Linked DNA regions of Alligator mississippiensis. The protein of the gene in region 1 interacts with the protein of each later gene in a pairwise test. Links are inferred from orthologs where the notes say so. Each region holds a gene or a part of one and is shown on either strand. Other genes may lie near its edges.

Evidence for each region.
Region 2: the proteins of FARS2 (region 1) and RCC1 and BTB domain-containing protein 2 interact in binary tests that used the Homo sapiens proteins (3 or more experiments, as listed by UniProt). The two-hybrid records come from large-scale screens. The link is inferred for Alligator mississippiensis from reciprocal best matches to the Homo sapiens genes FARS2 and RCBTB2.

The regions. Positions count from the first base shown.
Region 1 is NC_081826.1:122,804,883-122,816,565, reverse strand, and holds the start of FARS2 (phenylalanine--tRNA ligase, mitochondrial), read right to left. Parts: upstream 4,964-11,683; 5' UTR 4,949-4,963; coding exon 4,900-4,948; intron 1-4,899. Other genes in the region: LYRM4 (LYR motif-containing protein 4), read left to right, coding at 10,334-10,419. UniProt on the Homo sapiens protein: Is responsible for the charging of tRNA(Phe) with phenylalanine in mitochondrial translation.
Region 2 is NC_081824.1:413,617,638-413,630,342, forward strand, and holds the start of RCC1 and BTB domain-containing protein 2, read right to left. Parts: upstream 4,917-12,705; 5' UTR 4,716-4,916; intron 1-4,715.

The DNA.
Region 1 (11,683 bases):
TAAGGAAAATACAGAATATTACCTGCACTTCTCTGTCCTTATGCTTCTTAGAGATCTCCCATACCCTCAGAGATCCTTCCTAAAATCACAGGCATCACAACCATGAATACTTCAAGTTCCACAACAGCCTTAAAAGCGATATTGAATAGAGGGGTAAAACTAAAATATGTCTTGAATTTTATAATTACAATATTCACTGAATGCTTGGGACACAAAATATTGTTTTCCTAATTAAAAAAAGGAAATATTTTTAAATTTAGACAGAAACCCAAGAATTAGTGGTTGTCCAGATGAGAAAAGAATCATGCTTTCTGACATTTTACCATGAACAACAGGCATAGTACTGTCTGGTTTTGCTACCAGATTAAAGTATCCACTAGATCACAGAAATATCATGAATCAAACTCACCTGCCACAACACCACCTCTAAGAAGCAGGGATATAAAAAGTTATTAATCATTTAACCAATAAGTGCAGTGATAACCAGTTAGCTTACCAGTTATCCTTTAGCTCTGGGTGGGCAGAGTCTAGCAGGGAATAGGGGAAAAGGAAAGCTGCACAGTACAGGTGCACGGCTATATCGGTCCAATATCAGATCGGCACCGATATAAAGAAAATTTACTATAATAGAAATCGGCAAGAAGTGGCTGATAATTTGGCCAATAAATGCCCATACATGTGTGCAGCCACAGTGCAGCACATAGGCAGCAAGCACAGCACAGCAGCTTAGAGAGCTGTGTACAGCTGGTAAGTCTGTTGTGGTGGAAAGGCAGGAGGGAGGCAGATTAATGTCCCCCATGGTGAGGGAGGGAGTGGAGCTGGGGTAGGCACTGCCCAGGTGGGGCAGGGTGAGCACGGGACGGAGCCGTGGCTTGTCCAGGGGGCACCAGGGGCAGGGGCAGAAAGCAGTTCCTGCCGCTGTCCGTGGCTCACCTGGCAGCTCATCTGCTTATCTGGTGGCTCCCGCTGCTCGTTCAGGAGGGCACAGGAGGGCGTGTGCTTGGGGTGGGCAGCGGTGGCACTGGGGGGGGCTACGGTGAAATTTGGTATGGCTGCAGTCCCCACCGCTTAACGCCCTCCCAGCACCACCACCACCCACCCTGAGTGCAGCACAGCCCCCAGACCACAGCTGCAGCCTGCCCTGCCCCATCCCATGCAGATCTGGGGACACAGCCCCCTCTTCCCACCATTGTGCCCTCCCAGATGAGCAGCGGTGAGAGCTGCTCTCCCCCCCCGGATAAGCCATGGCTCCATCCTGCACCCATCCCGCCTGGGTAGCAACTCTTATTCTTATCAGAGAATTTTGAATTTTTTAAACAGAGAAAGCCAGGATCCCTGCTAATGACTCATCAGTTAAGCAATTAGTTGTTAATTCACAGGTGCTCCCTCCCTCCCAGCCCAGGTGGGCTATGTTGTCTGGCTGGGCTTGCCTTCTCCTCTGCCCACCCCTCCTCCAGCCCCACACAGTCAAAGGGACCCCAGGAGCCAGGAGCTGTGTCAGAGCTAGTGTGTTATTGGTTAAACGATTAACCAATAGAATTAAAGGAAGTTAAACAAATTTTTTTTTAAACAATATTTACATCCCTACTAGGAAGTGGTACTGACAAAGGGACCAGCATCTCCACCTGTAAGCACCCTGGTAGGAGTTTGCAGAGGAAACATTTCAGTGAGAACTGTCCTAGCTCTCACTGAAGAACATTGGCAAGAATGCTGATTGTTTTGCCTTTCTGCTTTAACTTTGCATTTAAATGGCTTTTGCTTTTAGTTGACTGAAAATAACATCCGTCTTAAACATCAACCACTACTACAAGGAAAAAGGCACCCACATTTTCACTAGACATTGAGCTAGTGAACAAAATGAGTGGCCTCCTTGTGGCCCAAGTGTGTGTTGGTTCTGCCTAACTATTCCCTTCGCTGCTTTACACAAACCTTCCAAAGGTCCTTCTTTGGTTCAAATACCCTTGGTCTTTTGAAAATTAAAATATTACAGGATCTTATGTATGCATAGTTCTCCCTAGTATCAATAGATCTTTCATTTCACCATCTACAGCAATGTTTATATAATATGGGCTTTTGGCTTCTTTCCCTTGATTATCCTTTCCTTTGACCCAGATTCATTTGACTTCCCAAGATGGGCTGGCATTTTTTTTTATATATATTAACTTTTCTCCAAGCAATGGTTCCAGGAAAAAGGAGGTTTCTTTAACAAGGAAACATTTAGTGCAATGAATTTTATACATAGCCACAAAACATCCATGGCAAAAACAAAGCTCAGTACAACAAATTTTGCCTTAGCAAGGCTGCTCTCAACTGCAATTGAAAACATTTTTTTTTAAAAAGGTTTGCATTCCCATTTGTAACTGACCGGGGTGTCAGATATTCCAAGTCAGCCAAGAAATAAATTGGTGGCTATGAGCCACAGAAAAATGTAAATTCAGTTGCTCTTAAAATATCATTCCTTGTTTTCCAGCACTGCAGTTTGCTTTCTGTGCTAAAATCCCAGCATCAGCTAAAATAGAAAGAAAGATGAAAATAACTAAATATGTTAGCTTGGCTAAATGACAGCTATGGAGAAACATGATGAAAGTATAAATCACCATGGAGCGAAGAAACTGCAGAGAGTGCCTCTGAGGAACGTAACTAGGGTTAATGGAATGAAATTATGAAAGGGAAAGGCTGAGACTAAATATCAGAAAACATCTCCTGACCATGAAACATATTAAAACATGGAATATTCTGCAAAGGGAAGGGCAGTTACTTAAGACTGGACAAAATACAAAAAAGTATAACGTAGAACACAATTTTGAAGCTTTATGGAACACGGCCCTTAATGAGACTTGTTCATCTCTAGTCTCTTAATAGGATTTCAATATGAAGAACAGAAAATGGACCCAAGAAATATTTGAAACTATATCACAGTATTAAGGTTAGGAAAGTCTGTGGAATTTAGCATCACTATTACAGATTTAATATTTTAAGGGACAAAATAATTTATATTTTTAAATCTCTTGAGTTCAAGTGTAAAGTCTTAACACAAAGCCATATTTAATTCTGTACTTTCTGTAGCACTTCCTATTCAAGAATTTCAAAGCCCTTTGGCAGACATTTGTCCATTGCAAACTTCTTCCAAAGTGAGATATCGCATACTAAAATAACATATTTTAAATCCAAACATTAAGGTCTTGCTAAACTGTTTAAATGTTTAAGAGCTCTTCTCTGAAGTAGCTCTGTTGTGCATATAGCCCACCTATTCCTTTTTTGCACAAATTTTTGTCTATTTCCAAAAGCTTTCCATTTCATTAATACACTTTCTATCTATTGATGACATAAAGAAGGAAAAAATGTAACTAAGGAAAGCAAGACCATGCATACTGAAAGACGATCAGCCTCCTGCAATAGGATTCATAAAGGAAGAGAATTTCTCGCATAGGACTTCTTTTGCTCTTTCTTCCCCCCCATGCAAAATAAAACCTTTAAGGTGGTATTTTTCAAAGTCCGTAAGTAATTTAGGAGCAAAGCTACCATGGAGAATCAGAGACCTGTGTCTTTAAATCACTTAAGAGCTTTTGCAAAAATGTTTCCTTATCCTCCTTTCTCAAGACAATCACAGGAACAGAAAAAAGAATGACTAGCTGTAGAAAGAGTTATTCAGGACATCTTTTTTGTTATTAGAACAAATAATTCTATCCAATGTAGGCAGCAAACAAACTCTTATTTAGTTATAATTGACTATAACATTGGCTGGAAGTTAAATTTTACCGTGAACTGCATTTCCAGTTCAATGGCTTTTGAAGAGAGATACCAAGGCAGAATCTAGCTTTTGAGTAATGCTGCCCATCAAGGAGCAAAAGTAATGAAAGTTAGAGAGAATAAGAACAGCAGGAGGGAAAAGAATTTATTACATTTTTACAAGCTGAAAAATAATAATTAAAAGAGATGACAATACCATGACAATCAATTATCATTCTGACCCCAAAAGAAAAATAATCAACATGAACAACAGCATAACAGGAAAGCACATGCCCTCTCAAAGTGTTGAGTGCCCCGTCATAAAGCTGAAATAGTGCACGACAAAGAATAATTTAGGTAACATATGACAAAGCTACAAATACGCCCTGGAGAACGCAACAGCTGCTTTGTTTCACACAGTTCCATAGTCTCTACAGGTATTTTGTTAAAAATTCTTTTTCTGCTTCTACAGATTTAGAACATTATTAAGTATGCCAGATGCTCATGTTATTAGATCATTCTCAAACTGTTCATATATCCTAGAAGATAAGGCAAAGAGAGACCTACCCAATTTCTCCTCACTGACCTGCGCACACCCGCTGAAAAAGAACACTGCATAAAACACACCCAAGTGACCATCATCCAGCAAACTTTTGACAGACTAGAATTCTACCAAGGTTTTATTCAAGATGAGACTGAACACATATCATCAAACTCCCTATATTTTTTAAACAAGTAACTAACCACAATAATGCAGCTGTCACAGATAAAAATTAATTAAGCTTGCTCCCATATGTCAGTGACTTGAGCAAAGCACAACCAAGACCTTTATCCTAAAGAAAAGCAGGGCTTGTTTTTGCATAATCCATAGCTGCTGCACAAAATTAAACATAATAATAAAATTAATCACTGTATCCAATTATACCATCAGCGTAAAAAGAAATGCCATTTCTGTCTGGAAACTGTGCTACTAGATTCAAGGAACACCTGAGATTATAACTAAAAAGATAATAGAAGGTAAGGGGACGGCTCCACTTTTTTCAGTTTTCCTTTTGTATCCAGTAAAAATTTGTGCATTGGGTTCTTCTGCTTGGCTTTTTGACAATGTGACTGTAAAGCCATAAAAGTTGGCAAAAGAACTGAGAAGAAATAGTAACTATTTTCAGGTACCCAAAGTGTATGGCAGCGCCCTCAAGGCACGCAAGCTAATCCTGTGCATGCTAGCTCTGGAACAAAAAATAAGGCAGACCCTTTCCTGCTTAGGCTAATTAGCTTCCCTGGGAAGCAGGTCTGATTTGGTCAGATGCAGCACCACATATTAACACAGCTTTACTGCTTCTCGTTATGGACCGAGCATGTTCACGCTTGGCTCAAGGCATCTAGTACAACCTTTAAATCACTTTTAAATGACTTAATCAATTTAAGGGTTATAGAGTCCCCAAACACACACACAAAAAAACAGGTTAACCCTTTATCTAGTCTAGTCTTGCCTTCTTCCTCATTATTCAGTAGATGAAGAATAGAGCATCGGAACCTCTAGCTTTACTAGTGAAGGAACGAACATTCAAAATTTAGAGGCGCTATCTGCCTAACTACTACTTTCTTCCCTCACTTCTGGAGTCATCACTGAACCAATGTATAAAGTTACTCTTACATATTGGATCTTTGTAAACTTTCAAGCCACATTTTATTGGCTACATAAAAGACTTAATTTTTTTTGGATTTCTGAAATATATGGAGGAAAGAACAAATGTGGTTGTCTCTGAAACTTTTAGGAAGGATGTTAAATTTACAAAGAAAAATAAAAAATTCCACTTCAGTACATATTAAGTACCCAGACAAAGGCAAACATATGGCACAAGGACAATTAAAAGTATGTGCACGTGTGTCTGTGTGTAAACTCTGTTTGAGTTTCCTTAATATGCAAAACAGAACTAGTTTACATAAATCCAAGATTCACAACCACAAAGGAAACCTCAAAGAGAATGGTTCTACCATGGTATTTAATTACAGCTCTGTGGGACAATTCAAATTTAAGCCTTGCTTTTAATAAAAAATAAGTAATGTGCTGTACAGAATAAAACAATGGAATTTATTTTAACTTGATTGGTTTTCACAAGCCTCAAAAGGAAGCTAAAACAAAACTTGTGTGCGTATAATACATAAGTTGACACAGAGACAAGTCCAACAAAGATGTTTTGATATTTATCTGTTATTTACACATACACAAACAGATCTGGTTTACGAACACAGCCTAAACTGTACCAGAAATACCGATGGAATTAACAAAACTCCAGTATGCCTACAGAATAAAGCATCGTCTCGTACAGTGAGAATGCATAAAACACCTGCAGTGTAGGCAGATATATTCTTTTCTGTTTAATTTTCATATAATAGACAGACTACAACACTGCAATCCACATATTAATTCATATTGATGATATCGTACAAAAAAAATAAATCAGTCATGGATACACATATGGCATAATACTCATGGATTAGGATGACAGCATTAATACTATTAGTTGCAAAACTACCAGCAGAGTCAGGGGCAAGAGATGTTTTGTTTGCAGGTACAGAAGACTGGATTCTTGCAGGGTAGATGGGAGAGGAGCAGAGACCAAGGATGTAAATTGTGAGGAAGTGCTAGTGTGTAAACAAGCAGAATGTAATTATTCATCATTAACTGTTCACTCTGTGAGCCAGGCACTGCACTGGAGATTTGGGGAGCTATTTTTTTTTCTGGGTCAGTTCCAACAAATTTCGGCCTTGCATAATACTCCTGGACCCACAACTGCAACACCCAGAATTCAATGCTTAACTGCAACACCCAAAATTCAACCTCCCTCCACCAATCAGAAATTCCCGTGCCAGGCAAAAAGAGGCTCAGGCAAAGCACAGATGAAAACAGTGAATTCTGGAAAAAAATCAAGACAACTTGTATTCCTGAGGAATATTAGCACTTAAGCTGGCTACAAGTTAACCATCCAAAAACTCACCAACTATGTAGAGCAACTCATGTTGGATCCCAGAGCAGGAATTGTTGAGCTATAATCTGTGGATTTCTCTGAACACTTAGAAATATTCTGAACTTGCCATGGACACATATACTGAAATTTGGGGGAAGCACAAGGAAACACAAAAGGAACTTGAACAATACCGGCTGTTGACTTGTCTTCTACCTTGGCAACTTTGTCACCTAACCAATTTGATCCCCCTTTACTCTTCCTATTTCAAAAGCAGGGTAACAATGGGCAGGTGAGTGGGGCATAAGCCCCAGGTGCTGCCCGGGGAGACCTTACCCTCCCTTCCACCACAACACCCTGCATCTTCCCTGCAGTGGCTCCAGCTCCAGTAGCAAAGAGGACAGAACAGCAGCAGCAGTGCATGGTGTAGGAAAGGAGTGGGCAACCTGTGGCATGAGTGACCTCTGTGTAAGGCATACGGCATATAGGGCAGGGAACAGAAAGCAAACAGATCACACAGAGAGCACAGGGTAGGAAACAAAAAACAGAAGAGACTGGGCAGGGAGCAGAAAGCACAGCAGCAGATTAGACAGCAGAAGGGAATCAGAGTGCCACTTGGGGGAGGCTATGGAGCTAATTGGTGACACCTGCCAAAAAGGCTGGCTTCCACTGGAGCACAAGCCTGAGGTTTGCTGCTGCATGGGGGAGACCAGGGAGGAGATGATGACACCTCCTTTTTTCTGCCATGGGAAATTAGTGTCAGCTGCAAAAGATGACACCCCCCTCTCCCCTCCCAGCCCACAGCATCAAAATTCTATCTACTGTAGGGGGGGAAAGGTTGTGAAAGGGGAGCTTCATTAACAGAGGCAGCTAACAGACAGCAGAATTGTAGAATAAGGGATAGCTTGATTGGTGGAACATCAAAACCATAGAGGGTTATTAACACCTGTGGAATTGTAGTAAAAAGACGTTAGCCCCCATAATTTTGCAGTAATGCTTGAGCAACAACCATATGATAGAAGTGTCTTATGACCATCTTATGACCCTTTTGTGTAAGATCAGGAGGTCTAACGTCCAAGCTGTGGTCTGCGGTTCTTACTGCTTGCCCTGCATTTTGAAATCATCTCTGTCCAGTGCCTCAAGGTTACGTTAAGATAGGAAGTTACTAAAGTTTAACTAACTTTGCTGAAATTGCTCTTTTCTTCTGCGCATGCTGCAATTCTACCTTTGAGTGTGCATGTACTAACCCTGATAAGTCACATTAACCAATAACTAGTTAAGTACAGCCTACAAGATAAGACGTCACAATTAGGAACTGGTACTGCAGCCAATAAACTCCTAATACGTTAAGACTCTGTTGAATGTAAGCTATAAAAATGTAATTCCGGGCCGGACTCATCATCGGCCCTGATTTGAGCGCTCTGCTCCCCGGTCGAACTGTTTGCAAACAATAAACCTAAATGGACCCAGCCTGTGTGTGTGACTCTCTCCTTGAGGGTAATTGAACAAGCCTCCAGGGGAACGAAACTAGCCGTTTTGGCAACAGAATGAGTTCAGAAGGGATCAGGTAGATGATAATGAGACATTAAGTCAATTGACTACCTCAGTCTGCTTCTGGTCTACCTGACTAGAAATGCTGCTGCCACTAACAGGAAGTTAGTTTTAAACTTTGGATGGAGCAGAAATCAAAGGGAGAAGGAGGGTGCAAGTGGACCGGTGCACCACCCCTGGATCCGCTCCCAGATTACATTAAAATCTATTCAGTGAACTGCACAGAAGCATAAAAAAAAGGGAGGGAGGGGGGGGGGAAGAGGGCAGTCTTTGGAGCTCCCAGTAAACTAGCAGGGGAAAGGTTTGAGAGGGTTGTTTCCTATTCCGTGACATGTCTGCAGCACCCCATTTTTCCCCAAGATCTGGCAAAGCGCCACATCTTCACGTTGTCTGTGGGACCTGACAAGAGTGTACAGCTGCAGGCATGAAAGGGAATAACAGCCAAGGGTGGCCCCAGGGGCTTCCAAACAGATGGTTTGCCTCTTCTCCCCACCCTCCCCCCAAAATATTTGTTTTTATCCCCCTTCAAATGCTTATTACCCACAGCCAACCCCTCCCCCCATACACACACAGGTCGCAATGCAGATTTCACACCGGATCTAATTTTAGCTGCAGCCCTGCCCGGCACATATGTTTGTGTGGGAAACAAGGGGACAGGACAGGACAGGACAGGACAGGACAGGACAGGATGCAGGGAACCAAGAACCCCTAAACAAGGGCCACACACCAGCAAACCTACTGGCACACGCAGTGCTGGCAACTCTTCTGATTTTGGGCGTTGCTCTTAAAGTCTACACTTCGGGCATGTGAAAAACTTAGCTCTTTCTTATATATCTATTTATCTAGATACACAGATTTAAAAGGGCTAAGCTTTAAATGTATAATTTAGAATTTGCAAAAATCTAGAACTCCTGGTTCAGAAATTATACCTTTTATTAGACCAACTGAGAAATAGCAAAAAAAATCATCTTTTTCTGCAAGCTTTCAGGCTCACATGTCCTTCATCAGGCTCAGGGAAAGTTAAAGATGGTAAAAAGCCCCCACGTACAAAATAAACTTCATTTTTTATCAAAGAGAAAGGTATCATTTCTGAACCAAGTTCTAGATTTTTGCGTTTCTTTTTGTCTCAGACCAACACGGCTGCCACACACACCCCTCATTCAAAACTTAGCTTTAATGAAAACGATACCTGCATAAATAAATGCATAGATACAAAAGAAAGACAAGGTTCCTTGGGTGAATTTGATATCTTTTATTAGACCAACCCAAATGGTTGGAGAATTCAGGTTCAAAAACCCTTCGTCAGGCTAAGGACGCTGCAGCAGTTGCTGCGTGCTCTTCCTGGATGGATACAAAAGAAAAAGCTACGTTTTTCACATGCGTGAAGCGTAGATGTTTAAGAACAACGCTGCACCCCTTACATTTATGATGCGCTTCGCCAGCCAACTGCGCAATAAACTCAGGCAAAAGGGATCCTCAAGGGATAATAAGAGTAATAATAATAGGACTAGAAAGTCAGGGCTTAAAAAATGATACAACTCCCGAGCTGGTCAGCCTCTACCTAGCTTTACACCTGAGCCCACAGCAAGGCCCCAACGCACGCACATTCCCCCCATACGCCACAATTACGCCAGAGGCGTAGAGTTACGCCGCGGGCGCCCGCCGGGCAGCGCAGGCGATAGAAGCCCGGGCGCGGGGCCCTCGCCCTGCTCCCCCCACCGCGCGCTCCGCACGAAGCCGCGGCCCCGCCCCCCGCGCCAAGGCTGTGCCTCGAGGCCCCGCACCCACCACCCCTCGCGCGCTAGCTAGCTCGCTCGCGCGCTCGCTCACCTCCCGCTCGAGCCCGGGCCTCGCAGTGCCGGCGCTGTAGTTGCCAGCTACGCGCCTGACGCGCCGGAAGCCGCCCACTTCGCGCCGGGGCAGGGGAGGCCACGGCTAGGGCGGGGAAAGTGGGGTGCGGGAGAAATAACGAGGCCAGCCCCAGCGCTCCCCTCTCTAGGGCGTGCCGGCGGCGCGGGGGAATCAGGCATTTGTGAAGGGCGCCCCCGCGCTGAGCGAGAGGGGGCCTTTGCGAGAGGACCGGCAAGATGGCGGCGTCCAGCCGAGCGGAGGTGCTACGGATCTACCGTGTCCTGCTACGGGAGAGTCAGCGCTTCGCCGCCTACGGCTACAGGTGCGGCCCGGCGGGGGGAGGGCGTCGTCCTCTCGTGGTGGAGGGGCAGGGCCCGGCCCGGAGGGAGCAGCGTCGGGCCCCTTTGCAGGGGCGACCCCGGTCTGGTGTAGTGGGGGGAGGCTGGAGCCTCCCCCCATCAGCCTGAGGTTTCTGGGGAGGGGGGCAGGATATGAAATTATCCTGGTGGAAGCTCAAAAGTATCCTATTGGCTGAAAAACACTAGGAAATATGTAAATGACTTTGCACATGACACACATTTCCCGTATATTGCTGACCCTAACTCGGTAGTGAGTGAGCAAGGGGAACTAGGTCATCAAAGTTGAAGCATTTCTTTATTTTGAGGTAAGCAGCCATAGGAGCGTTGGTGGTCTTTTGGCTAAGTTCAAGCGGTATCTGGGGCATCCGAACCCCAAGACCTCCAGGCTTGCACACGGGGTGCCTCCCCATAGATTTGGGAGCATCTGAAGCCCAGGGCTGAGGAGTCTGGGATGGAGGATACTTGCAAATGATGGCACCACATGGACTTGAGTGATTGAGCTCCGTTCAGTTAATAGGATTTGCAACTGATTTGACCTGGAACACAAAATAATAATCTTTAAAAAAAGAAAAAAAAGCGCAAACCCAAAAATTGGTTAAGATTCCCTGAGAGTGTCTTGGGTTTTGCATGTGCTACATCAGTGAGCTGCTTCAAAAAATATTGTACGTTTTGAATACTTTTACTGTTATTGATACTACATTGTACAACAGTACTTGGCAACACTGGGGTGGTTTGGGCCTTTGGGCCTTGTTGCACCTTGCACTGTGAGGTAGGTGTTAGTTCTAGTGTGAGTTTGTAACAGACACACTTCAGGTCAGCGGGGACCCAGGGGACTGGAAGGTAAGAACCTGCCCCTCTGGACTCCCTTTCTCCATCCCTTGGGGTTCCCCTCTGCCTCTCCTCACCCCCAAAGCATTATTTGTGGCTGCCTGTGTTGCCTTCCCTAGGGGAGCAGGCAGGGAATGGTTAACCAGCTTGCCTGGCAGCTGCTGCTGTTCTTGCCCAGAGTGGCGGCAATGGCTGGGTTGACAGTTTATGCTCCCCCTGGGCAGACAGCACGGGAAGCCAAAAGTAAGCAAGGGACAGGGTGGGGGGTAGTGAGCAGGATCTGAGGTGCTTGGGGGAGGGGAGGGCAGTGATCCGAATCCAGGCCAGTGTGGGAGAGGGGACAGGTGAGGTGTTTGGTCTAAGGTTATAGCCTAGAGTGGCTACACCTTGGTGTAATGC
Region 2 (12,705 bases), on another chromosome or scaffold:
CATAGTGCCATGACTCTGCAAGGACTTCCAATTCTTTCTGCTTGTTTCTCAGGCTCCATGCATTCGTGTACAGGTACCTGAGGTAACTAGTGGATTGCCCCGATTTCTCAAGAAGAATGAGAACACCTCCCCTGTTGCCCCCTTCTGCTTGCTCCTCCTCCAGGTCCACCACTTCCCCACTTACCTCAGCCCTTTGGTCTCCATCCCCCAGTGAACCAAGTTTAGAGCCTGATTCTTTCTTTTTCAAACTACCTGTCATCATCTTCCCTAGCCAGGTCCTTATCCACCTGATTCCCTGAACTAATCCTCATCTTCTCTAATTTAACTGATAATTATCCATGTTTATCAAATGTTTTCAGGAATTCTAATTTCTTCAGAGGCTACTGAACTTTTGGATTTTATAGATGAACATCTAATATGTTTAGGTAGATGACATCTAGTATGTTTTCTTTGTTCAGAAAATCAAATTAATTTGCCACAATCAAACTTTTGGTATATTTAAACTGTATTTTATACTGTAATTCTCATTTACTTCTGTATCTTTATTCTTTCCTACAAAATTTGTTATAAAGCCTAGAATATTATAGTGGTTAGACTAATGGATTTCTTGTTGCCCAGAGTACTTTTTCCTTTCACAAGTACTCAGGGCCAGACACAGGCACGGGTGAACCGGGCGGCCACCTGGGGCCTGAAAAAGGGGGCCTAAAGGGAGCCCAAAAGTGCTAATTTTAAAATTATTATTATTCTCTCTGGTGAAGTGTGGCCCAATATTAAACGTTTGCCCGGGGCCACCAGGAGTCTAGGTATGGTGCTGCAAATACTGCATTTGTTATTCTCAAATCATGATACCAGCCTTAATGAGTGTTGGGAGTCACCGCCATGTGCCCTGGGTTGGGGCCAGAGCTGACACTGCCACCACTGCTGCGTGCACTAGCTCAGAGCCTGAGCTATGTTGCCAACACTCCTTCCTCATGCCATGGCTGGATCCTGCTTCACAATCCAGATTCAGCCCAGGGCACAAGGCGAGTCTCACACCCCTCCTTTGCATAATCTAACTCAATTTTTAGCAATTCTGGTTTTGCTACTGCATTTCTTGACCTCTGAGCAGTGTTGCCACATTTGAAAACTACAAATACTGAATTATAACCTCAAAATTATTGTTCTTAATGAAAAATTATTGTACAACACAAATATTAAGAATATGACATACTTTTTAATCTTTACAAATATTTCAATCATTCCCCTCACCATAAGCTTTGAGAACTTTCACATTTTAGTTGCATTCCACTTGGGAACTGCTATCCTCTGCTGCTACATGTTTACCTTTAGAACAGAGGTGAGCAACCCCCAGCACGCATGCCAGGACATGGCACACGAAGGCATTTTGCTTGGCACTCACACCTTGGAGAAGGGGCTGGGGTTGCATGGCCACAACAAAGGGGCCCCTGGTGGCTTCTCTGCCATCCGCCCTGGCACGCCAACATCTTACAAGTCAAGGTTGCAGGTGTTTTTGGCACTGCCTAAAAAATGTTGCTAATCCCTGCTTTACAAGCAATGTAAAGTGTGTAACATACCTCAAAATTAGTCCATACACTTGAGGATCAATCCAAAGACCATTTAAGGTTGAATAAACAAGGAAAACTTATCTAATATAAAAATTTTCTTCTGTAAGACTCTTTGGATGTTTCTGAATTAGCTTACATTTAGGCATTTTCAGAACAATCTATTTTATATTGTACATGGGTCAAATTTACTATTCAAATGCAATCATTATTCTAATCAAACATCTGTTGGCACTGCCTCCCACCACCGACATAGCATTCTTTGTGGATCAGCTTTTTCTGCTCTTTGTTTATGCCAAATATCCTTGTAAAAGGTGGTCATTCATCCAGTTACTCTGGAGTTCTTCAATACAAAAGTTTTCTCCTTTTCCTCCCCTTTGATAAGCAACTTTGGGTGCAGACAGAAGTGCTGCTCCGAGCTGTAACTCAGAACAATTTTTGCAAAGTGTTTGGAGTTGCACTATTCCCTGAGACCAAAAAGAAGTTCACTGGTGGTTCTAGGGGAGAGGGGAATCTAGCTGTGGGCTGGGAGCATGCAGCCAGGTTCCCACAGCAATGGCCAAGGCTCTTTGCCAGTGCTTGCTGTTTTCAGAATAGGAGGGAGGAAAGGCAGTGGAGGGAGCTCATTCTAGAGGCTCCTCAACTGGTGCTGAAGGGTGGGGTGGGTGAATTGGAGCCCTCCACCTTGGGGGTGCTCCAATACATCTGCCCCACACTTGTGGGGGGGTGAAACCCCCACAGACTGAACTTCCTCTGCTCCCTTTCCCTTCCATTCTGAAAACAGCAACAGGCTGGGAGTTCAGCAGACACAAGTTACAAAAGATGCTACAATCTGATACCTTGTGCAATGAAGGGTCACATTTTCACCCAATCGGCCACTTTTGAAGCTGTCTGCAGCCTTGCACTTGTTTGGTCACAGCTATAAACTGCTTTCTGTGGCCAGACTGAGTGAAAATTGTCACTTCTGTTTTCACCCTTTAGCAACTCTGATTTAAAGAACTTCCAAACCTTTAGCATCCCTGAGCATCTCAGTCCATTTGACTTAGCTATCTAGTTCTTTAGGGAAGCGATTTTCAACTTCTTTAGCATAAGAACACCTCTCCCCAACTGTGCCTTTGTTTCTGGGAGGCACAGAGGCATGAGGACACCAGACCGGGAAGAGCTGCAGCATAAACTGGCTCTCCTATTCGCATTAGGCTTGTCAGAGAACCCTAAAGAGACCATACGTGCCCCACAGTCCTTTCTGGTCTGGCTCTGCATGAGGCACAAGGGGCACTTCTTTTCCTGGCTGCGTATGCAGCAGTAGCACCCCTGAGGGGGTTTATGGCACTCTTGCTGAGAACCACTGCTTTAGGCAACAGGCAGATAAAACATTATACCAAGTTATAAAGGGAAAGGGGATCTTGCCACACATCAGTTACTTTACAGTTTTTCTATTTTGTGAAACAGTTAAGTTTCTGTGTCTTAGCTTCTGCTGACTTCAGGAAGAAACAGACACATAAAACAAATGTCAAGGAGCAGCTCATACACTGTAATTCTCCCCATCTTTAACTCAATGTAACTTTGTTCCTTTATCTATACCTGTGGTTCTCAAAACTTTTTTAAACTCAAGATACCTCTTATTAGATGCAAGGCACTCCTCTTGACTACAGAAAAATAATAGAGCATTTGTTTTCTGTTACATCAGAAAGACTACAACAGGTCATAATGTTTTTAACACTCTGGATTTCTATTTGAAATCTCTGGATTTATTTTCTGAATCACATAGGTGCTTGCACACTAAACAGTGCTAATTGCATGGCACCCCATGGCAAGCTGAAAATGATCTTACCCTGTGGCATCAGAGTGCCACAAAAGCCTGATTGAGAATCGCTGGTCTATTTCCTGAGTTTCAACCCGAGGAGTCTAGAGACAACTTTCAGCAATATCACTGTAAAATTTCATCTACAAAGTGCACATCCACCCTGCCTCCAATATCTATAGTGATTTTGGCCCCACCAGATATCATGGATTTGAATAAAAGAATAAACCTTTTATTCTTCTCATTTCTTTACTCTTATATCACATCAGTGTCACGCAATGCTACGTCACCACCCCTGTCTATTTCTTTCTTGAACAGTGCATAATCAGCAGTATCTTTCCAGTCCTGCTTGCTGTTCTACCATATTTCCGTTGTCCTTATATCTATCTTTACACCTTGAACCAGTAGTTCAAGTTCCTCCATCTGGCAGTCTAGGCTTCTTGCAAGATCATCCAAACATTTCATTTCTTTGTCACTGACCTGAACTAACTGCATTGCCTGACCACTGTTCTCATCCATCTCAGTACTCCCTGGCCCTACCAATCTAGCTGCTTCCTAACCCCTAGTATTCCTTCACCTACTGTCATGTCCTCATTTACCACATTCCCTCTTCCTGTGCACTAAAATCAAGCTGAGACTATTCTTAATAATGTAACCCCAGGGTAGGCATCCAAAGAAACCCCTGATATAGAAGTGGGGGCCTCCACTCTGCTCAACAGTAAGGCTTCACGTCAGGCTGCGATGGGTGGAGTGGCGTGACATCCTCCAGCAACAGACATGCCTGGCACAAGGTGCAAGGGGCAGCGCTGCCCGAATGCTTCCGTGACAGAGACACCCTGGGAAGAGCTGGCAGGACAATGAGGGAAGCTTTTTTTTTGGATGACAAAACCTTGTGTACAGACAGCCAGGACCCAGTGACAGAGTCCTGCTCTAGCTCAGGGCTGAGGGGGGGATGGGAGGAAAGCAGCTTACGGGGGAGGTGCCCGCCCGGCTGGTCAGGGGAGGAGCAGTGGGGAGCACTCCCCTAGGAAGCTGCAGGAAGGGCTGGCCCAGGGGCTGCACACAGAGACGAGGCCCAGCAGGGCAGGCTGTCGGCGGTGGCAGCAGCAGCTCCTCATGCTGGGGCGCGCGCTGCAGCCGTTGCTTTCTCCGCCCCGCCCCGTCCCGCCCCCGCCGTGGCGCAGCAGCGCGGCCCGAGCCAACGTTCCTGTCACGAACGTTCCACGCAGCGCTCAGCCGTTAACTGCCGCCCTGAGGCGGGGGGGCCGTGCGATCGCCGCACGGCTCTCTCCCCGCTGTCTGGGGAAGGGAGCAGATAGCTCCAGCAACACCCTGTGGCCGACATGGCTTACCTTCTCCACGGCGGCGGCGGCGCCTCCCTCCAATGAGACAAGGGAAGATGCCGCTCCGCTCAGGCGCTTCAGCCGTGAGGGGCGGGGGATGAGCGCCTCCCACGGCACCACCTCCCGCTCGAGCTGCGGCGCAGAGTTTAAGCCACCTGCCTTTGCTAGGCGTCTCGGAGCTCGGGGGTGTTTGGGGGGCATCGCAGTGACTCAGCGCTCGCCCCGGAGACAGATTTCCCGCCCCCTGCGCTGAGCAGGCGCGCTTTTTTCCCCGCTGTCACCTCCCCCCACACCCAAGCCTGTCTGAGTTTGCTGAGCTCCAAGCTGCCTCGGGTGTGGGCACTACCCCCAGGCCATTCCCCACCTCGCTTCCCCACACGTCCCCTGCCTCCTGAAGGACGCAAGCGCCAATGCAAAGTGTGACGAAGACCCAGAGGGCCACATGGTCCAAGGCACCTTAAATGTTGAGGGGTTTTTTTAGTCTGAATAGGATGCTTAGAAAGAAAAGTGAGGGAGGGGAAGCCAGTTGCTTATGGGCCAAGTAAGTCCCAGGATTGAAAAAAACAGTGGCATTCCAAATAGGATAGTGGACAACCCTCTTGTTTTTATGGGTTGGGAAATTGGGGGGGTCCCCTATATCCCTACTGAAGTTGGGGACTCTGCCTAGCCTTCTGTGAGGGCACCTTAAAGTCCCGGTGAATTCTTGGGGCAGGGGGGAGTTGCAAGGCATTTAAAGTAGCTCTTTGTCGTCCCCCGCCCACTCCCAAACTTAGTACATGGAGGTTGTCTGTTGTCAGCTGGGAATGGGGTGAGTGTCACACCCTGTGTCACCCCGGGCTCAGCTTGTCCTTACTCACCCCAGCCCGTGCTGGAGTGGCCCTAGGAGCAGCTGACACCGGCTGCCTGCACCAGGGCAAGGCGCAGCCCAGGAGCAGAGGTGAAGGGACAGGCGGAACAAGGTGCAGCCCAGCGGCTGCAGCCAGCTGGTGCTGGCTGCTCCCAAGGCCACTGCAGCTGGGGCTGGGTTGAGTGCCACACTGCTCCCTCTGCTTTGCTGCCTTGTGCAGCCCTGGGAGCAGCACCCCTCCCCCACCCCTTCCCTAGTCCCAACCTCACTCACTCTCTCCTCCCTCACCACCATGGGAATCTATCCCTATTTGTTACATTGTAAAGTGGGTTCGTTTTATGCAAATTTGATTTACGCGCCGTTCTCCGGGAACGCATGTACCGCATAAACCGAGGGAAACCTGTATATTATTCAATTTAAGATCAAACAAAAACAAATATAATTATTGGTATGTCATTAATTTGCTAGATTATGTATTAAGTTGAGAAAAACACAACAAACTAAGCAAAAATAGTCAAAATAAAAGAAATTCTGTCATTAGTCCTGTAGCCATAGGTGGAGGGAGACATTTTTTGGGTTGGAGGAGGAGGGGGCTGAGTGCTCACATGCATGTGCGCACCCCCCCACAGAAAAGTCTGCCGGGGAAGGGGCAGAGGGAGGGGAAAGGGCCATGGGGGGAGAGTGGGGCTGGGACCAGGCAGGGATAGGAGCACAGCTGGGATCAGGGCTGGGGCCCACTGCACCCGTGCGGCCGCCCCTTCCCCCATGCTCGGAGTCGTTGCCCGGTGCTGGCATGCCTCGCAAATTTGCCACCCCCCCAGCCCCACACCAGCCCCAGCTGCCTCCCTGCACTGGGGCCAGCTCCAGCTGCACTGCTGGGCTGGGGGGGAAGGAGCTCATGGGACCCCCATGCCTGCCCCACATCGTCCCTGGGAAGAGCTTGGCACAGCCTGGCAACTCCTTCAGAGTCAAGGTGCTGGGCAGCCAGCGGTGGGGTGCGGGGCACGTGGCCCCCTGATCTTTGCACGGGGCAAGGGCAGGCTGGGTTCTGCCTACTCCCTGCCTCACTGCCACCTTTGAAAGTGGTGCAGTGTGGTGCCATGTGCCTCACTGCCCTGCATGCCCAGCAGCGCGACTCACATGGCACCATGCCACTTTCAAAGGTGGCAGCAAGGCAGGGAGCAGGCAGAACCCAGCCTGCAACTGCAGCCCGCCTTTGCCCTGTGCAAAGATCAGGGGGCCATGTGTCCCCACTCTTGGCTCTCCAGAGCCATGATGTGCCTCTGGAGGAGTTGCTGGACTCTGATTGCCCCATGACCTGGTCCAGATGGTGCCCCATTTGCCATGAATGGGGCCCCGGCTGGTTGTGAGCCCGCCGGCTTGTCCAGAGGTGTGGTGTGGGGATGCCAAGGGAGAGGGGGAACGTGCCTTCCCTCCCCCGACTCCCCCCACAGTGCACAAGCTGCTGGGCTCCGATTGCCCCATGACCCAGCCTGGCCCCGTGAATGGGGCCCCTGCCAGTTGGGTCATGGAGCAATCCCCACAGTGCAGCAGGGAGTGTGTTGGGGCAAATGGTTCACCCCTGCCCCTACCCCACTGCCTCCTGCACTGTGGGGATCTCGCTCTGTCCCACCTTCCCCCGAAGCCCAGGTAAAGAAAACAGAAAGAAACTAACCTGCCTGCTAAGTTGGCTGTGATCCTGACCGCGCAGAGTATGTGTGTATGTGCACACCTCTCCCCCGCTCCTGCAGCAGCCTGTGGCCAGGCTGCCCTAGGGCCCTACCTCCTGTCTGTGTTTGTGGGGCTGAGCCCAGTTAGCCCCTTCTCTCCCCCCACCCTGTTCTGCTGCCTATGCTTGTGGTCATTATAGTTAAATCTACATCTCTTATTCAGATTCACAAAACATAATCTGGCCTTCTTGAATGTCTTGATAGTGCCTCCAGTACTTCACTGTCATTACATTTCATTACAACTGAGTTAATATTACCCGAGTTAAGGTTTTCAGCTAGGGCTAAAAACAGTCTTCACGACCATGAAATAGATGAGAGACATTGCCAGGAATGGCAAACAGGCAGCAAAATGTCAGAAGAAAGGATCACTTCAAGAGTGGAACATCAAGTCCATTAAAAACAATGCAAGGTCATTAACACCTGTGGAGTGGAGAGAAAGTAGCAGAAATCAGGGAGATGATACTGAGCAACAAAGTCAGTTGACTCTGACAGCATTGCCGGGATAGAAATGCTACTGCCCCTCCCAGGCAGCTGGTTTTAAAGTTTGAGTGAAGCAGGAGTCAGCTACAACTGTACCTCACTGGATCTGCTCATGAAGGGACCTCATAAGACAGAGGCGGGCAATTATTTTGGGTGAAGGGCTGCTTAATGTGTTTGGGTGAGCTGTCGAGAGCTGCCTAGGTAGTCCTGACCCTTGACAGTTGCCCTGCCCCCTTATTGCCAAGGAAGGCCCAGGATGGAATAGGACCCCTACTAAATGGGCAGAAGCAATTGGTGACGGACGGGGGGACAAGGCTGAACTCCTCAACGAGTTCTTTGCCTCAGTGTTCCTAAGTGAGGGGCAGGACAAGGCTCTCACTGGGATTGTAGAGAGGCAGCAGCAGGAGGCCAGACTACCATGCGTAGACCCTGAGATGGTGCAGAGTCACTTGGAGGCACTGGATGTCTTTAAGTTGGCAGGCCCAGATGAGCTCCATCCGAGTGTACTGAAGGCACTGGCTGACGTCATTGCGAAGCCACTGGCGGTAATATTTGAGCAGTCATGGCGCATGGGCCAGGTCCCGGAGGACTGGAAAAGGGCCAACGTGGTCCCCATTTTCAAGAAGGGGAGGAAGGAGGACCCAGGCAACTATAGACCAGTCAGTCTCACCTCCATCCTAGGCAAAGTCTTTGAAAAAATTATCAAGGCTCACATTTGCAAGAGCCCGGCAAGACAAATTATGCTGAGGGGAAACCAGCACGGGTTCGTAGCAGGTAGATCATGCCTGACTAATCCAGTCTCTTTTTATGACCAGGTTACAAAATGCCTGGACACAGGAGTAGGGGTGGATGTCATATACTTAGACTTCAGGAAGGCCTTCGATACGGTATCCCACCCCATACTGGTAAACAAGTTAAGAGGCTATGACTTGGATGACTACACAGTCCAGTGGGTGGCGAATTGGCTAGAGGGTCGCACCCAGAGAGTTGTAGTGGATGGGTCAGTATCGACCGGGAAGGGTGTGGGCAGTGGGGTCCCTCAGGGCTCGGTCCTTGGACTGATACTCTTCAATATCTTCATCAGTGACTTGAACGAGGGAGTGAAGTGTACTCTGTCCAAGTTTGCAGATGACACAAAACTGAGGGGAGAAGTGGACACGCCGGAGGGCAGGGAACAACTACAAGCAGACCTGGACAGGTTGGACATATGGGCAGAAAACAACAGAATGCAATTCACCAAGGAGAAATGCAAAGTGCTACACCTAGGGAGGAAAAATGTCCAGCATACCTACTGCCTGGGAAATGACCTGCTTGGTGGAACGGAAGCAGAAAGGGATCATGAACATGAGTCGGCAGTGTGACGAAGCCATCAGAAAAGCTAATGGCACTTTATCGTGCATCAGCAGATGCATGGTGAACAGATCCAAGGAGGTGATACTTCCCATCTATAGGGCGCTGGTTAGACTGCAGTTGGAATACTGCGTGCAGTTTTGGGCGCCACACTTCAAGAGGGATGTGGATAACCTGGAGAGGGTCCAGAGAAGGGCCACTCGTATGGTTAAGGACTTGCAGGCCAAGTCCTATGAGGAGAGACTGGGGCACCTGGACCTCTTCAGCCTCCGCAAGAGAAGGTTGAGAGGCGACCTTGTGGCTGCCTATAAGTTCATCACGGGGGCACAGAAGGGAATTGGTGAGGTTTTATTCAACAAGGCGCCCCCGGGGGTTACAAGAAATAATGGCCATAAGCTAGCAGAGAGCAGATTTAGACTAGACATTAGGAAGAACTTCTTCACAGTTCGAGTGGCCAAGGTCTGGAATGGGATCCCAAGGGAGGTGGTGCTCTCCCCTACCCTGGGGGTCTTCAAGAGGAGGTTAGATAAGCATCTAGCTGGGGTCATCTGAACCCAGCACTCTTTCCTGCCTATGCAGGGGGTTGAACTCGATGATCTATTGAGGTCCCTTCCGACCCTAGCATCTATGAATCTATGAGTCTTCTAATTGGAAGCCCCACCCCCAAGCCCCTACCTTTGCTGCTGGAAGTCCTTCCCCTTGCCCTCCCAGAAATACTCCTTTTGGGAGCTGGGGTTGCCATCTTGGGACCAGAAAAAACTATATCATACACTAAAAGTCAAACACCTACTGTAACATATTTTAATTTTATTACAAAACATATTTTTATCATGATTTGTGTTTGCATACTGTATATAGAGGTGATTGCATAATAACTCAAGAATAAATTCTTACTTTTGTAAGTTGTGACAGGTGTATGGTAAGGTGTGGGTGGGGGGGTGTATATGGTGGGGGGGTGTTATGTGTGTGGTGTGTGTATGTGGGGGGTGTGTATGGTAGGATGTGGGAGGTTTGTGAGGGGGTGTAGCTGTGTGGGGGCATAGGGTATGCTGGGGGCTTGTGTATATGTGGGGGGTTGTGGGAGCAAGCTGTGGGTGTGAGGGAGGTTGGAGGTATAGGGACCCCCCTCACACGCCCCCCCATGGCACCGCAGCAGGCAGCGTGCTCAGGGAACAGGTGCAGCTCCAGCCAGCACTGCACATTGCAGTGAGGGGCACAGCCTCCACCAGTCTGCCTGTATTGCCAATGCTCCCTGTCACACATGTGCCGCCCCTGCACTCGCACAGCAGGGAGGGAAGCTCCATGTGCTGGAGCCAGGTGCCTTCCCCACCGGGGCTGCGCAGCACCGGAGAGAAGCCTCAGGCTGGAGCCGGCTGCCTTTCCTGCTGGGGCTGCACTGCAGAAGAGAGAAGCCCCAGGAGCCTTCACCTGCGGAGCAGGGAAGGCAGCCGGCTCCAGCACATGGGGCTTCCCTCCCTGCCTTGCGAGTGCAAGGGCTGCACATGCATGACAGGGAGCACGAGCAATACAGGTAGCCCAGCGGAGGCTGTTCCCCTTGCAGTGATGTGTAGTGCTGGCCACAGCTGTGCCATGCCAGGCACCTGCGCCCTGAGCGCCCCGCCTGCTGCTGCTGCTGCCACCACCTGCAGGGCCTGCACCCCCTACTCTCCCTCACACCCACACACTGCCCACCCCAGCTCCAAGCTGCCACTGCCCCCTGTCCTCCTGGTTGCAGGCTTGGTGTTGCCACTAGCTGCAGCTCCAAGCTCCATGTTCCCTCCCAGCCACAGCCCCTCCCCCACTGCTTCTCAACCTGCTGCCCAAAGCAAGCAGGAGACCAAGGAAGTGGAGCAGGTCCCAGGGGTAGCGGCAGCAGCCCCACATGGAAGCTGAACGCTGGCCGGCTTCTGCCCACAAGGGTGGGAGTCAGGCAATAGGGTACGTTTTTGGGGGCTGTGTATACATGTGGACGCCTCACTTCCACCCTTGTGGGTGGCAGGGCTGAGTGGACACAATTTGTTGGGGTGCCCCATGGGCCAGATGAAGGTGCTTGGCAGGCCAAATCCAGCCCACAGGTCATATTTTTTCCACCTCTGTCATAAATTTGTCTAGTTTAGCCCCCTTTTATAGAAGGATTGTCACTGAATAAACCATCCCAGCCAAGAGTCTGCTCAAACTGCTCTTGAAAATGTCCAAGGATGGAGATTCCACAGTTTCTCTAGGTAACTTGTTCCAATGCTTGACCATGCTCAAAGTCAGAAAGTTCCCTTTAATCTCCAACCTAAATTTCCCCAGCTGCAGTTTGAGTCCATTGCTCCCCTAGGCCTGTCCCTTACAGCCACAGAGAAAAGCCCATCTCTATATTCTCTATAATCACCCTGCAGGTATTTGAAGACTGTTATCAAATCCCCTCTCAATCTTCTCTTCTCCAGAATAAATAGCCTTAGTTCTTTCAGCCTTTCTTCATAAGTCTTGCCTCAGAGGCCTGTAATACTTTTTGTTGCACTTTCTGTACATCTTGCTGTGATACTTGGAGACTTGTACCATCCTGTTCAGTTATACAGTTACCTCACAGGAGCTGAAATCCTACCAGGATTTCTTAGCACTTACCACCCCCTGCCCCATAGCTACCCACCATCACAGAGTGATGCAATGGCAAAGAAAGCAAATGCCATCTTTGTGTGCATATGTAGGGGAGTGGCAAATAAGCTGTGATTTTACCTCAGTTGACAGCACTGGTAAGACAAACTGGTGGATATATTTCTGATGACCACATTTTAAAAAGGAAGTTGAAGATGTAGAAAGAAGCCATGGAATTATTTAAGGGCTAGAAAAAATGCCTAACAGTGGGCGTGTCTACATGAGATGTTTACTGTGGAGTAGACTAGCTCTGTGGCAAATATCTGGTGTCTACGCATGCAGGACTTTTAGGCCGGAGTAAACTATTAAACTCCACAGCAAGGTAATACTTGTAAATACAAGTACTAATTACCCTGCCGCAGAGAGTTTTTTACTCTGCAGCTCTGCATGTGTAGACACTGATGCGGCTGACTGGGGCATGAGGGTGCTTCAATGCAGGGGCTGCCTGTTGGTTAGCTTCTCACCACAGCACCCTCATGCCCCAACCAGTCTCTCCACAGCATTTTGAGCCAGATCAGAGCATCTGTGGGCTACCAGCCTGATCCCCTGGGCCCCTATCAACCAGGGCTGCTTCAACCTGACTCAACGTGCTGTGGTCCCAGGTGCACATGTAAATTCAATGCCCAGGAGCAATAAACTCGGGTGCAATAAGCACTGGAGTTAATTGCTTTGCATGAATAGGCATGTGTAGACATGCCCAGTGAGGCACTGAAGGAGTTTGATTTGCTTAGGTTATCTGAAAGAAACGTGAGAGATGGCGATTACAATGTGAAAGAACAATCAAAAGAAGAAAATACCAGCTACAAAAAACAAGCGAAGAAAGGTATAATAAGGAGCAACTGGTGAAAATTAAAGACAGACAAATACAAATGAGAAATGAGCCACACCACACATTTCTAACAGAAAGGGTTATTAACCACTGGAACAAGCCACTACAGGAAGTGATGGATTC